Linked DNA regions of Diceros bicornis minor. The protein of the gene in region 1 purifies or fractionates together with the protein of each later gene. This does not show direct contact. Links are inferred from orthologs where the notes say so. Each region holds a gene or a part of one and is shown on either strand. Other genes may lie near its edges.

Region 1 (7,529 bases):
GATCCCCAGGTAGAGCCTGAGAAACAACATTTTACAAGTATCCCAGGTGACAATGAACCAGGTTGCCAGAGGTCCACACTTTGAAAAATACACTTTCAGAGGGGTTGCTCACCTCTCCCTTTCTCTCACAGCAGGGTCACTTCCCCCATCTCCTGTGACTCCTGGGTCTCCCCTTCACCTTCCCAACCTCACTCTTAAATGAAAGGATCCAATGTAATTTCAATTTAACAACCGACTTTATGAACCGCTCTGCACGTGCTCTCCCCTGTCCTCCATACTCCAGTCTGAGCTTCACATGCTGTTTTCTCTACCTGGAATGCCCTTTGCTGCTTGCTGAGACCCTTCCCACCTTCCAAGGCTGGGTTCAAATATCACCTTCCATGCATCCTTCCCTGGGCATCGTTTTCTCTTTCCTCCAAACTCCACCATATTTTCTTTATATATCTACTATCATTTATCGAATTTTGCCTTATTTGTATATGGATTGCTTTGAGAGTAGGGGGAAAGTGTTCACAGCCATGCCCTCCAGAGTGCTCCAAATAGTACCTTTGAGGGTTTTGAAATGAGTTTGTTAACCAAAAACCTCTTGAGATGCTATCAGACCCATACTAATCTGAACTGTGCTCTACAAAGATAAGTTTTAGACATTCCAATACACCAAATAATAGCAGCCAGATTGCAAACTGGCCAAAAGATCAGCTTTTGTTTTGTCTTGCTTGGTTTTAAAAAATTGAATCTGAATGCCTTCGGACAGAGAGCAAAACAGATCCATTTTGACAAAGGCCCCACCACATATTCACTCAATAAAGCTATCAGTCAGCCCACGGAGGAAGGCCTCTGAGATTGTGATTCCTACTCAGCTAGTGAAGCAGAAACCATGTAATGGGTGCTGAGGGTCTGAGAAACCAAGGAAGGCCATGATGGAAGCGTGAAAACCAAGGAGCAAAGATGGAAGAAAAACAATAAGAAGATCAATTGAGAAAGGAAACAGACAGGAAGAAATGTCAAACTTGCATGAGGCAAGTCCTTTACTGAAAAAGCTGGGAAGAAAAGGAAACTTTCTTAAAAGTAATAATTTTCACAGAAAAATCAACAGGCCTTTATGTAATATTTTATGAAGAGCTGTTAACCTTGGAACTTGAACGTGGGTTTTGTAAAAAGAAACTCCGAGGGAAAAAAGAATCACGAATCACTACTAGTAGTTGTTATATAAATACTATAGTGGTTCCTTCTCAAAGGCTTATTCATATCTTATACTTAAAAAAATATGTCAAAGACTACATGATGATGTTAACATCTGGCAAAAACCCTCTTCACATCACTTTAACTTGTTTACCTGCTTAAGTCAAACACAAAAATAGATCTGAAATTAAACAAGAGATGGGAGTTGAGTTCTTTCACTTTTCCCGTCTTCAGTTCTGTAAGGTCCAACTTCACAGCAGCAGAGCACCCGAACCTCACCCTCCACTGCCTTCCACTAATCTCTTCATGAGAAGGACCAGGAGACTTAATCCACAGCCCACGGAGTTCCTAAATCCCACTGCTTCCTGATGAAGCACAGTGGGATTAATTATTACAAATGAGTTGTATATCATTCTATATACTTGGAATACTAATCTCAGTCATTTACAGCCTACTCTCCATCCCAAATGGGAACTCTCAGGAGGGGACAAGACTCAAGACGCCACAGTATATCCAAGCGACACACTTCAACCTTGCAGCAACTTTTCTGATCACTGTAGGGTTTATATAAAGAAGTATTTACATTAGGCCAAGGCGGAAGCAAAGTTCTTTAGCCAAAATACTCCTGATCTGCCCCGCCTGAAATTATCTGTTCTAATCAGCGAACCCAGCATGTCTGCCTTGTAAAGGCTGCTTATCGTGCATTGACAGACGAACTGGAAACCTTGTTTTAAAATGGATCACCAAAAGGAGAAATCCTGAGTTAAAATGATGAGTGTTTTGCTGCCTTCAGACATCAAAGGAAACCGTGACGAATCACCAGGTGAGAGCGGCAGGAGAGGAAGCACGGTCTGCAGGTTTGTTTGACCCAAAGAGGACAATCGCAGGCTAAACGGCAAAAAAGTGGTGGGAGACGGCCTCTCGCCGAATAGGAACGTCCAAACACCCAAATGCCTAAATGCTCCCAGACTCGACCCCGAATTCCGGCTGTGCCCTCTCCTCTCCAGGGGAAACCCTACAACACTGCCGTGCACGACCGGGTCAGAAAGGCCTGTCAGCTTCCCTCCACCAGGGAACACAGCAGCGGGGCCACTGACCCGCCGGGCCCAGCCTCCCCCGAGCCTGCTCTCTGAGGGCTTCCAGTCTCCTCCCCGGGGGGCCCTCAGGAACCCCCACCCCGCTCCCCATCTTTGACTTCTACTCCGCCCCTCCAGCACCTAACCTCTTCCCTCCCTCGCGCCCCCGCGCCCCCCCCGACCCCTTCCTCAGGCCCTCCAACTCGGCCGCGCCTCCTCACGCCCATCTCCTCCCGCCCCGGGCCAGCCCCACAGCCCCCCTCCTCCGGCAGCGCGCTCGCGGGCGGGGCCCCAGGCTTCTCACTCGGCGGGCCCCAGGGAGGGGACCCGGGCCCCAGCCACGCCCCCCACAGATAATGGGTGACATGGCGGCCCCCGCCCCTCGCGGCGGCCTCGCTCACCCACACGAACAGGCTGTCCGAGAGCAGGTACTGGGCCACGTCGCGGGCGCGGGGTCCCCCGGCGCTCGGGCGGGCGAGCGCGGCCGGCTCCGGCAGCAGCGGGGCCGTTGGCGACTCCTGCTCGCCGCGCCCGGGCCCGGCCTCGGGCTGGCTGAGGGCGCGGTAGGCGCTGACGATGGTGCCGAGCAGGGCCAGGCCGCTGAGGCCCGTGTAGGTGCGGAGGCTGGGCCAGGGGAAGCGCTCGAGGAAGAGCAACGGCATGGCGGCAGCGGCGGCCTCCGGCCCCCAGGCCTCCCCGCGCTGCGGCCAGGCCGCCGCGGCGGCCTCGCGAACGGCGCCCACGGGCTCTGGCGTCGCTGCCGCCGCTGCCGCCGCCGCCGCCGCCGCCGCGCCGGGCCAGGCCGGGCCGCTCCTGGCTGCTCGCGCCGCTCCGCCCCGCGCCGCTGCCGCTGCTGCCCCTGCCGGCGCGGAAGAGCCTCGGCGGGCGCGGGGCGGGCCGCCGCCCCCCGCAGGGTGCGGGCGGGACGGGCGCGGGGGCGCGGCCTCCGTCCCCCGCCCCCAGCGCTCGCGCCGCCGCCGGGCCGGCCAAGGCCCAGCGCCCAGCGTGCTGCCCCGCCGGCCCAGCTCCGCCGCCCGCGGACGCGCGGGGCACCCGCCCGGCCGAGCCGAAGCGCACTCAGGCCCGGCGGCGCTGACGGGCGGTGGGGCCCAGGCCGCGTGGCGGCGCGCAGGACGCGGGCACCCGGGCCACCGGGCGTCCGGCCGCCTGGCCCTTCGTTCCCTTTAACCCCTCCTAAGCAGGTTGCCCCTGAGCACCCCTGTGGGCCTAGCAGCTTCCCCGGTGGCCGAAAGAGGAGATGGTGCTTAGGGAATAATAGAGGCCTTGACCTCAAAGAAAGACTATTAACAGTCTGAAATTTCTCCCCAACAAAGCTGTCTTCAGTTTCTGCTGTTTGCTAGTAGCCTCGCACAGTCTAAAACGAACCGCATTTAGCGGGAAATAAAAGTGTTCCCTCGTACACTAGGTAGGAATGTAAAATAGTGCAGCTACTGCAGAAAACGGTCTCTCAGTTCCTCAAAAAGTTAAACCTAAGAGTAACCATTTGACCTAGCAATTCCAGTCCTAGGTATACACCCAAGAGAAGTGAAAACATACCTCCACACAAAACTTGTGCACAAATGTTGGTAGCAGCATTACTTATAATAGCCCGAGGGTGGAAACAACCCTCATGTCCACCAAGTGATGAATCCATAAATAAGGGATATCCATATGATGGGATATTATTCAGCCATAAAAATGAGTGAAGTACTGATGCAACGTGAACGGACCTTGAAAACATGGTAACTGCAAGCAGCCAGACAAAAAACACCACATATTGTGACTCTTTGTAGGAAATGTCCAGAACAGGCAAATACATTTACAGATACAGAAAGTAGATTAATGGTTGCTTAGGGATGGGGAAATGAGGGAACTGGAGGGTAAAAACTAAATATGGTTTTCTGAAGTGATGAAAATGTTCTAAAATTGTGGTGATGGTTGCACAACTCTGAATACACTAAAAATCATTTAAGTGTACGCTTTAAATGGTGAGATATATCTCAATGTGTATTATAGTTCAGTAAAGCTGTTACAAAGAAAAAGTGCTACCAAAAAAAAAATGTTAGCTTGGGGGTCTTATTCTTCATTGTATCTCCAAGGCCTGTAATAGTGCCTGGCCCACAGCAGGTGCTCAGTCAATTTTTGATGCATCTTACAAACTTTCAAAAGAAAAGAAATTGTCTTCAAAATCTCTTTTATACCTAATACTCTAATTCGAAAAGCCTACTAATTGGAAACTAAAAAAGATCTCTCAAGGTTATTACCATCTACTTTGGAAGTTTTAGGATCATCCTATTAAAGGGCCTGTGATGGAACAGAACAGTTTGGCTTTTGTGGGGGCCACACACCAACTTTTTTATATGAGGTCTATATAGACCTCATATAGAGCTCAATGTCCATGTGAATTTACACATACTTGTTTATGAAGTCTATATGAATATTAGACTTCAGTTCCCTTTGGTTCTCCACCCTGCAGCCATTTGATTAAAACGCTACTTTCAACTTTATTGGTAAAATAAAGGAAAGCTTTATTTTGAAAAAATGAAGATAGCGATTTTCCAGGGAAGTTACTGTTCTACTTTATCTGAGCTCCCATAATTTTTAAACCACACTATCAGGTGATCCATATTCAGTCTAAGTCACATTACAGTTACATAATACCACACCAACTGTGTCCCATCACCATAAGAGGCTGCTGTTAATAGATCTGCCCTTATTAAGGTACAATATTCCACCATCTTGAATTTCAAAGTGCTATACTCTTTATTAAATTATATTTTGAGATAACCACTACTTTCTAAGTGTTAAAAAAAAACTTTAGACAACCTGTTTTCTGGAATGACTTTGTGAAGTGTCTAATAGCAACTTTTTACTTTTGGCTCTGACTATATTAAAACTAGTCTAACTAAATTAAACTTAGAAGCTTGAACTTTCTCAATATTCAATATAAGAATAGGTGAAATTAACCTAACTATATAATTTTTAATTCACATTTTAAAAGATTTTAGATGTTTGTGTCTGGATATTTTACTAGGATAATTAGTATTTGTTCTACCAACATTTTTTCCTTTCCCTTTCCAAGAAGGTAACCAGGCTTTTGCACATCCATCTCTCATGGCTTCTTTTTGGCAAGGACGGAACCCACCTTCTAAAGTCAGCTAATGCTTCTGGTTCTTTGTGCTGCATCCTGCTCCATGAGAGGACCAGGGGAGGAGGCAAGAGACAGAAGGGATGAATATTTAGTGTACCCAGGAAGGCTGGACCATAGGCACAGGGACTACCTGTATCAGTCAAGTTCCAAGGCCCAAGTGTGACATGGAGGCAACAGCACCAGACTTTAAGGGCCTGGTCCAGCTTGGACAAGAAAGGGTCTGTGGAGTCCGTGACGGAAGCCAGAGCTCTCCGCACCCCCACTTTCATTTCAGAGTACCATTTATGCCTTCTGGATTCTTGTGAGACTTTGGGTGGGTCCTCACTCCCAATAGTGACTGAGAGACTGAATTTCCTTCCATCTTTGTGGGATGATGGCTCTGATTTAGTTTGATTTAAAGGAAATGTGTCATTTCAAACAGACCAGAGTTTGTATGGAGTAAGATTCACACCTAGATACAGTATTGCTATTTTCATTTTTTAAAATATTTGAAATCCTTTCATATGCGTGACCTCATGTGATTTTCACCATCCTGTGAGAAGGGCTGAGTAGCTTTTTGTTAAGATTCTCAACGTCCTAGGAACTGAACATCATTATCTAATCCAGTAGCCTTAAATGGACTCCCATGGAATTCCGGTGTTTCCTTAGCTGGACCAATGTATTCCACTACTAAATCTAGCAGAAGAGGAAAACTAACCAACTCCTCAAGTTTGTGCGGAAAAAACTAAGTTAATGGGTATATTTCAATCTTTACCTTTTCTTTCATAATTTTTCATAGCTCTTTGGTGCCTGCTATAAAATACACAAGTAGTAAAATTTTCAGAACTTTGCAATAACTTTATCAGGTTTTGTTCAATATTTGTTCAGCTATAAAGCCTCAAGGCTATGGTTTTATTACACATACATTCTCATATTTTGGGTATAAATTGTTTCTATTTAAGATGCTGAAATTAAATTACACAGCATTACATAAGCAGCAAGCATGGTGTCACAGAACATCACGACTGTCTGGCAAGTTTGAGGAAAAAAAACTGTAGGAGTGAACACTCTTTATAGATGAGGAAATGGAGTCCTCAATGATATAACAACACAGACTTAACACAATTGTGAGGCAATTTCTAAATCCCAATCTTCCCAGCTATGAGAATAGGTGAAACTAACCCAATAATATAAGGTTATTTTTTATTTGCATTTATTTGCACCAGGTACCAAATCCAGTGACCGCTTCACACTGGAGGAAACTGAATCTGCCTATGAACACTGCTAACACACAATGGAGGAGTGTGAGGGGAGGGCAACATCGATGTCCCAGGTCTTCAGGCCCTTGCTATTACGTCAAGCTGTCTCTCACCTAATGGCCCCTAGCCACTAACAGTGAAAAAGAACCCTGCAGGATTTCTAATGGCACACTAAGGTTGGAGCCACACAAACAATCAGTCATTCTATTTTAAATTTTTTTTTATTGAAATGACAATAAAATAAAAAAACAGTGACCATTTTAATCAAACTTTTACTTTACAAATATAAAAATATAACCAAAACTTAAACAGTTTCTTTTATACATTTCTATAAACTTAATGCCAGAAAAATCCTCAAAGCCAAACTATAAATGATGCTTGTACACTATGATGTAAGCACAGTAACCAAAAGTTGAAGTTTTTAAATGCACTGATCTTCCCCTCAACAGAACAGCAAAACACATTTTCCTAATTTACCTCTACTCTTACAATACAATCCATCACTAAAATACAAATTACACCTAAACTGGCTTAATCTAGACTTACTTAGGTTTTAGCCTGTTTTTTCCACAAAAACAACCTTGATACATATAATACAAGCTAATATTAAAATGTGTTTTATGGCTCAAGTCAAATTAACAGCATTATGTTTCTCATCACATATTTAAATAACAAAGGCAAACTGCCTGAAGTGAGTCCAGTTTAACCCAAATAAGTGATGTAAAACAAGTGGAAGAATTATGGGAAATCAAACTTCATGCTACGGAAGCTGACTTGTATTACAGTCAAAAACCACTAACCCATCTCCGGCAATGCGACATACAAAATTGCAGACTCTCTGAAGCAGTCTTACTGATGGGCACGTACTGTCCCAAACACTAT
Region 2 (7,873 bases), on another chromosome or scaffold:
GTGTGTGGCCGGGATCTGAACCCGGGCCGCCAGCAGCGGAGCATGTGCACTTAACCGCTAAGCCACGGGGCCAGCCCATCTCCTATATATTCAGAACAGATTCCTCCCTGGCTTTGTCTTGAAGTGAAGAAATAATGCCCAACTGGGGCTGATGGGCCAAGGAAATGACCCCATTCAGCTAGTTCAACAATCAAGCTCCAGAGTAAATGGCTCGTGGAGCCTCATTCTTTCTATATATATATACATATATAAATAAAACTGACTCTTAAATGATTCCTTGAAAAGGTATTATACTCATCCAATAGCTAAATTCCAAATCATGCATTAGTCAGCACCCCAAATCTGCAGTCGTCCATCCATACCACACAAGCCAAGTATACCTGCACAGACTTATATGATGTGATGAAAGGGAGCATGAGATGGAAACCAGGGCCGCTGGTGGAAGTCAGCAGGGCACCGCCTCTGCAGAGGAGGAAGAGAGAGGCAGGTTCAGTTTAGCAAGAGGTATCTATTACAGCAACATGGTTTCGGCCAACTTTCTCTTCAGCCCCACAAACGTTTAATATAGGGTGACATGTGTCAGAGCCACGTCCACTGATCCCTTTCTTCCTCTTGGCTCAACTGTAATATTCTAGGAAGCCTGATGGTAAAACATAAAACCATTATTCACGCTTTTGCAGTGAGAAAGATAGGCACACAGGTTAAGTAGAATAAAGACAGCAGAATCCCTGGCTGTACTTCAGATAAGAGAGGAAGTCTGTTTTATTTTGTCATATCCCTTGAGTTTGTGGAAATCCATTAGGGCAGTTAAATGCAGTAATACTGCCATCAATTAACTGCACTAATGTTGGAGTCCAGTGACATGAACAACCAAAAGAATAATTTTAAGTATGCTTTAGAAATCATTTTAATATATTACTTTTTGGCAGGCGAGTTATCTTTTAATCAAGTTATATGTAAATAACAAAATTAAAAGCCTCTTTTGGGGACATAAAAGCAGGTGGTGGGGAGAAATAATTAAAGTAGAGAGGGAAACTCAATCAGACATTTAGAACTTGCTATTGGAAATCTAGAAATAAGCATCATAGGGCACATACACGAAGGGGTTCATAAAGGCTAAAGCAACAACTTGGTTATGGAGGTTACTAAAAGGAAAGCACCTCAAGATTTATAAGTGCTTCTTCACTTTACATTATGAAGTCGAAGATACATTTTTTTTTTTAAAAAGAGCAATAAAATAGTGACATAATGGGCTCCATTATTGTAAGAACCACTATCCTCAGGCTTGCCTTAATTAATATAAATAAACCTGCAGGCTCTTTCACATTTCCTGAAATGTTAATTTTAAACAGTAGGTTCAAATTAGCACAGCAGGCTAGCTCCTCAAGTTGCCATCAAGAACTGGTACTCATCAGAGGTAACCTTGTGGCACCAAGATGCCCAAAGGGATGTAGGAGAAAACAATGTTTCAGAGATGATCTGCAAGGAGCACTGGTTTCCTTTAGGTTTTGTCTCTACATATCTATACACATTTATCAATCACCACCCATGGCACCAACTTAGACTACTAAATTGTATATTTACAACTATATATGTGTATATATGTATGTGTGTGTATTCCCCTCCCCATGGTCACTGACACAAAAGCTCAATCTAAAAGACTCCCCTATTCAACAAAATATAAACACAGATATCCAGCAGAATCTGCTAGACAGTGATTAGGAAGGAGAGTCATGTAAGAGGAAGTTGCAAGTTTCTCCCTGTCTCTGCCTTACCTGTAATACACCCCAATATGTCCCTCTTCTATCTTGTGCACAGCTGAGAAGAGAGATGCACAAAAGAAGCTGGCAGCCACAGCCACAATTGCTCCCAACTGAGCCATCAGTGAACCTTTATCCTAGGAAAAAAATACGGGAAAATGTGTGTGGTCTGATGCAGGAGACAAGCTATGACAGCAAGAGCACCTCACCAAGCTGAGCTCCCTCAAAGCGGCTCTTATCCAGCCTGCTATAGTATCAACACATGGCTAGGTCTACAACTCTCTTCAAACCTTGTTCTCAGTCAACATTCCCATTCCTTAACTGTAGAACTATATTCCCACCTCTTGAAAAGGCAGTGGCTCCAGCCGTGGCCCGAGGAACCCGTGCTAATTGGGCAGCGTTCAGAACACAGCCTTCCCTTCCTGTGAACACGCACGTGCTGTCACTGGAGCCACTCATACTAGTAAAAGGGAAGAGAGGCAGCTGCAGTATGTTGGCCCAAATTACAGAGGATGTCAGATGACCGGCAGTTGTGGCTATGTAATTCTGGTCAGAGCCTCCCAGTCCTAATTGCCCGTCATTTCACAGGAAACCATTATTTACTCCTTTCAGATGCTGGAGCGACAGAGACAGCATGCGAGCAGGGGTCCAAGGTGGGATTCTTTGGCCTGTCATGCACCTTCCCAGTTATTCCTTTGGCCCTTCACGGGACAGGGTTCTGAACAAGACTGAAGACACACTCCCTCCCATATACCTGACACTTTGCCCCTGACAGGTCCCAACTCCATGGTTAGAGAAAGGGGGTTCCCCAAGCTGGGAGGACTCTGGGCTCCTGGGACAACTGCGTTCAGGCACCAGGATGCGAAAGAGTTGGCATCTAGACTCATTTTCCGAACACTGAATGATCTGGAAACCCTATGGTAACGGGCAGCAGAAGGCAGGCAGGCGTGCGCGGCCCACCCGCGCAGAGCGTGGGTTCTGCCGCCCGGGTCCAACATAGCTCGGGCGCGGACACCCGCGAGGCGCTTATTTTACGGTGGCGGCCTCCTGCTACCGATCTGCAGCCGCATCCTTTCCGCAACAGCTCTTCCCTCCCCGAGGTCACCCCGCCCCACCTCGCGCCCCTTCCCTGTCCTCTTCCGAGAGAGGGTCGCGCGTCCCACACGCCCTGGGGAGGGGCTGGGCTCCGAGAGCCTCCGCTCGGTCCCGCCTGCGGGATCGCGGGAAGGGAAGGGACAGAGGAGCGTCGCGTTCTCGCTCCCGGAGTGGGCCGGCTGAGGGAGCGAGGCTGCTGGGGCGGGGGCCCGGGAGAACCGCTCATCGGCTCCGGCCGACAGCCGCAACTAGGCCCAGCGCGCCCACTAAGGGGCGGGGGCCGCGTACCAGGCTGTCCCTCCAGGCGCTCCGTACTCGTCCGACCTCCTGTGCAACCGCAGAAACCGCCACACCCCTCGACACGCTACTTCCTTCCGGACCCGTCGCTCTGATGACGCCATTAGTCCACGCGAGAGGATCACACTCCCTCCCTGCCGAGTTCTTCGCCCCGCCCTCGCGCTCCGAGCGGTCAGTGTCCGCGGGTGGCCGCCAGGGGGTGCCCGCGGCTCGGTCTGGGCGGTCAACACTGCGCTCTGGGATTTCAGGGCTGGGGTGCGCGGAGCGCGTGGAGGGTGACCGCGGCTGCTGAGACCGAGGGTGTCACTTTCCGAGATTTTGACTTTGGAGTTTGCTGAGGAGGCCCCTCCGCATTAGGCCAAGCCTGTTTTTTTTTTTTTTCCCGGAGCAGGTCCCAGCGAGTTGCAACCATTCTAGCCCTGTGCTCGCAGGGTCTTTTAAATGTGCAGATTAGCACCCTTACGTCGCTAATCAACAGTCGCTGCTTTGAATTGCCTTTTTGCTTTTCTAGGAGCTTTGGCCTCTGAGGTCCCCGCACCATAAAGTCGATTAAGAAGGAATCATCCCAACTTGAGTGAACGAAATCTAAGATCAGTGAGGTGCGAGGGTAACAGTGGATGAAAGCCTCCTTTGCGCTTCCTTAACATCAGGACCTTAACTGCCTTTGTAAGTTAACTCCTGCCGCAGGACACAGGGGCTTGTGCGCTTCGTTGTCTCCCTGGCTAGACTGTAAGTTCCTTGAGGGCAGGGATTGCCTCTTCCCTTCAGCATCCCGGGTGCTCGGGTGCTCAGGTGCTCAGTCAAAACAGACTGAAGGCGTGGCGGGACCGGGACCAGGATCCAGACTTTGCCTCTCCTAGTCTAAGGGCCTCCCGTTGTCCGCAGCCTTCGCTGTTCAGCACCATCACATTGGGGCATTTCTAATTCAGCCACTGAAGTTATTTTATTTGCAGAAGAGAAAGTTGGAGTCCACTTCATTACAACCTTCAGTAAATGAAAAGCTTTTACACGGGGAAGATGGCAAGCTAGTGGTGGTAGATTTAGGACACAGGAATAGGAAACTGTAGGTTTTCCAGGCATGGCTGCTTGGGGCTGGCTCATTCTCCCTCTGCGGGTTTGCTCTGGGACTTTGTGTGGGGATGGCTCAGCATTATATGGTTAAGGCCACAAGTGGGCTGCATGGCACTGCCTGGGAGCTCTGTGTTCACCTCCATACATGAGGACCTCTCCCCACCGCCCCCCACTGGAAATCCCACCCCCAGCACGCGCGCATGCCCGCACTCTTGGTCAATCTCCTGATTGATCCTGTCAGAACTTGAGAGCTTTTTTCTCTCCCCGTGCGGTGATATAACTCAGCTGGGCATGCTTAATCAAGGTTTATTTAATAGTTGGGTGAATGAGTAAGAGAAATGGAAATGTTGAGGTTTCAGCCCAAGGAATGGGGCTTAGCCTGCATAAAGGATTTAAATTAGTTGTAATTTAAGAATTTCCTGACTGTGAAACTTGGGAATGAACTATGAGCGGAAGTTGTGGGATTTTGTTCTTGGGATCCTTCTCACCAGGCCTGAGTTGTCCCATTGTGGCCCCATCGAGAGGCAGGGGGTGGACTTCAGTAGATGATGATCTAACATTTCTGAAAATCCCTTTCTTAAGAGACCTGTGATTTTTATGACTCAATATCCAAAGTTATCATGGAGGTAAGTCTGCGGGGATTTGTTTAACAAAAGTGTTTAAAAATCCATTTTTAAAAAATCGAGGTATGGTGGCCAAGCATAGATACTCCAGGCTGACTGCCTGGGTTTACATCTGGGGCTGCCTCCCCTCCCCCTGCCTCTTATTAGCTGTGTGACCTTGGGAAAATGACTTAATCTATCTGTGCTTCAGTTTCTTCATCTGTAAAATGGGGGTCATAATAGTCTGAACCTTATAGGACTGTTGTGAGGATTAAATGTCAAATCAGGAAAACGTTTGGCACATTTTAAGTGTTAGCTATTGCCGTTTTAAATAGCAGATTCCATTAATGTGTTCTTGCCTGTTTGTGGATTTGGATTATCAATATGACAAAAGGTGAGGGAAGGATAAAATTAAAGTTATGTGGTATTGAGTAATAACCCAATGAAGGCTTATCAGAAGAGATAAGGGTCTCTGAAATGATACCTCAATGGATATTTACAATGCAGATTTCATAAACCATTAGTGAGTGCTTTCCATGTCCCAGGGCCTATGCCTTTCTCATTTTATACAATCTTCAGGTCAGCCCTTTGAGGTCAACTCCATTTTAGAGGAGGAACTTGAAGCCTAGAGAAGTTGAGGGATTGCCCAAGATCACAAAGCTTGTGAATTGCAAAGACAGAATTCAAATAATCCCAAGTCTATTTCTTCATTATAGTAAATGAATTAGGAACTAATGATTCAACTGAACACACACACACCACATTTATTTCACGTGTAACCTTTCAGGAATGTAGACCGATGGTCAGAAGTTGCGAAACTTTAAATTGGGCCAGTTCTTTTTGTGCAGTTGTAAGTTGAAGCATGATAAAAAAAAAAAAAATACTCCCATGACAGCTATCCACATCTCCCTATGTCTGGATTGCTGTTTGTTTAGTCCTCTAACAAGCTAATTGTTGGTGAGAGTGCCACTTCAAAGATAGAAGAGACCCCTTCTTTCACAATTAGAGCCCTTTTTATTAATGACCAGGTGGTTAACTCCAAAGGAACCAGGCAACTCTTAACATCTTTGGCTTCAGTTCATTTATATCACAAGAGTGGAAGTTGCTGGAAAACGTTTTTGTTTGATTTTGATTTTTCTTCTTATTTTATGCTCTAAACAGAGACTAGAAGTCATCTTTCAGGACATTTGATCCCAGTACGATTTTGGTGAGCTTGGGGGAAGAGGAGTGAAGAATTATGTCCTTAATTCTTAAGAAGGATACTTAGAACTTTCCCCTCTTATTTTCAGTTGGAAAAACCAGGATTGGTGCCTTCTAACAACAAAAGGATATTTGCTTGGGGTTCTTCAAGGGAGTTCGGTAAAGGGATCAAAGAGAAGTCTTGAAAAAAAAAATTGAGTTGGAAGTCAGTTGGTAGTCACCTAAAAGATCATTTTGTGATTATATGTTTTTATAGCTTTATTGAGGTATAATTGACATACAATAAAGTACCTATAAAGTGTACAGTTTGATAAGTTTTGACATATGTATATGACCACAATCAAGATAATGAACACATGACTCATGCCCCCAAATTTCCTCAAGCTCCTTTGTAATCTCTCCCTCCCACCCCTCTCTATGACTCCTTAATTCCCAAGCTGAAACTGATCTGCTTGTCATTGTAGATTAGTTTGCATTTTGTAGAATTTCATATAAATTAAATCACACAGTATATACTCTTTTGGGGGGGGTTGTCTGGATTTTTTTTACCCAGAATAATGATTTGGAGATTCATCCATGTTGTTGAGTATGTCAATAGTTCATTCCTTTTTCTTGCTGTGTAATATTCTATTGTAGAATTATTTAAACAATTTGTTTACCCATTCATCTGTTGATGGACATATACATTGTTGCCTGTGATTTTAATCTAACCCATTTATTTCACTCATGGAGAAACAGAGGGCACAGGGGAGGAAGTCTCCAGAAAGGGGACTTGGTTAAGGTCCACAGCGCCTTTGGGGAGTAATGGGAAAGCAGCCTGCTACCCTGGGAAACTGCGCTGAGAGGCCTGGTGGTTAGAGGTGTGGCTTGGCTTGTTTTGCCTGGGATGACCATTCATTTGACATCTCTGAATCCATAGTAACTTTAGGAATTTTTAAAAAAAGATTGTATGGCATTTTGTCCACATACATCTCTCTATATCATTGATAGATGCCTTTTTGCTGTAGACAAAGAGATACCTTATGTGCCTGGTATGTTAATATCAAAGAATAAGGAAACCCATGTTCTATTCTAGGCCAGTCTTTTCCACCTGGATTCTTAATCTCATCCTCCAGGAACCTAGAGCCTTCAACGATCTCCTCACTCTAGCAGATCTTGAGCTGCAGCCTGCAGTCTTGTGCAAGTCTCCCTCTCTCTCCTCTCTCTTAAAGCCCCTCCGTTGACCCTGCATAAACCTCTAGTTCTCACGTGATTTGTCTCCTTCCTTTTGAGCAGTTTCTTGAAAAAGTACCTACGGTTGCTGTCTTTACTTCCTCACTCTCCATCCCCTTGTTTTTGGTCCTTCAGTCCCTCTCTCTGATGCACTTGGTACTGTTGACCGACCCCTTAATGCTTAAACCTCCTACCCCTGGCCTCCATGAGTGACCCCATCCCTCCTGGTTTTCCTCCTGCTTGTCCAAATGTTCCTTTTGTAGTCTCCATCATGAGCTCATTCTCAGCCACTCCTCAGAACTCTATCCTTGACCCACTGCTCTTCTCTCTCTACCTTCTCTTTCTGGAAGGTCTCTTGTGTACTCAAGATTCAAGTTATGTGGTTGTTTCTGACTCACCCAAATGCATATCCATAGCCATGAGTAACAGACTAGAATACCATCTCTTTGGATGTTGGATGGGGACAAACCAATCATGTCTCAAACTGAACTTGTAGTTCCCCCTCAAACGTACTCCTCCCATTGAAGGCGTCACCATGCACTCAAGCATCCACGCCAGGCACTCGGCCTCTATCCTAATCTGCCCCATGCATTTAGTTATGGAGTTCTAATTATTCCTTGACCCTATATCCCCCCT

The links.
Region 2: the proteins of AMFR (region 1) and ERLIN2 purify together in Homo sapiens (affinity purification with western blotting; 4 studies listed by BioGRID and IntAct, with this or other methods). This does not show direct contact. The link is inferred for Diceros bicornis minor from reciprocal best matches to the Homo sapiens genes AMFR and ERLIN2.

The regions. Positions count from the first base shown.
Region 1 is NC_080771.1:9,983,602-9,991,130, forward strand, and holds the start of AMFR (E3 ubiquitin-protein ligase AMFR), read right to left. Parts: upstream 3,041-7,529; 5' UTR 2,921-3,040; coding exon 2,660-2,920; intron 1-2,659. UniProt on the Homo sapiens protein: E3 ubiquitin-protein ligase that mediates the polyubiquitination of lysine and cysteine residues on target proteins, such as CD3D, CYP3A4, CFTR, INSIG1, SOAT2/ACAT2 and APOB for proteasomal degradation.
Region 2 is NC_080768.1:34,488,006-34,495,878, reverse strand, and holds the start of ERLIN2 (erlin-2), read right to left. Parts: upstream 3,103-7,873; 5' UTR 2,436-3,102; coding exon 2,364-2,435; intron 1,898-2,363; coding exon 1,776-1,897; intron 463-1,775; coding exon 381-462; intron 1-380. UniProt on the Homo sapiens protein: Component of the ERLIN1/ERLIN2 complex which mediates the endoplasmic reticulum-associated degradation (ERAD) of inositol 1,4,5-trisphosphate receptors (IP3Rs) such as ITPR1.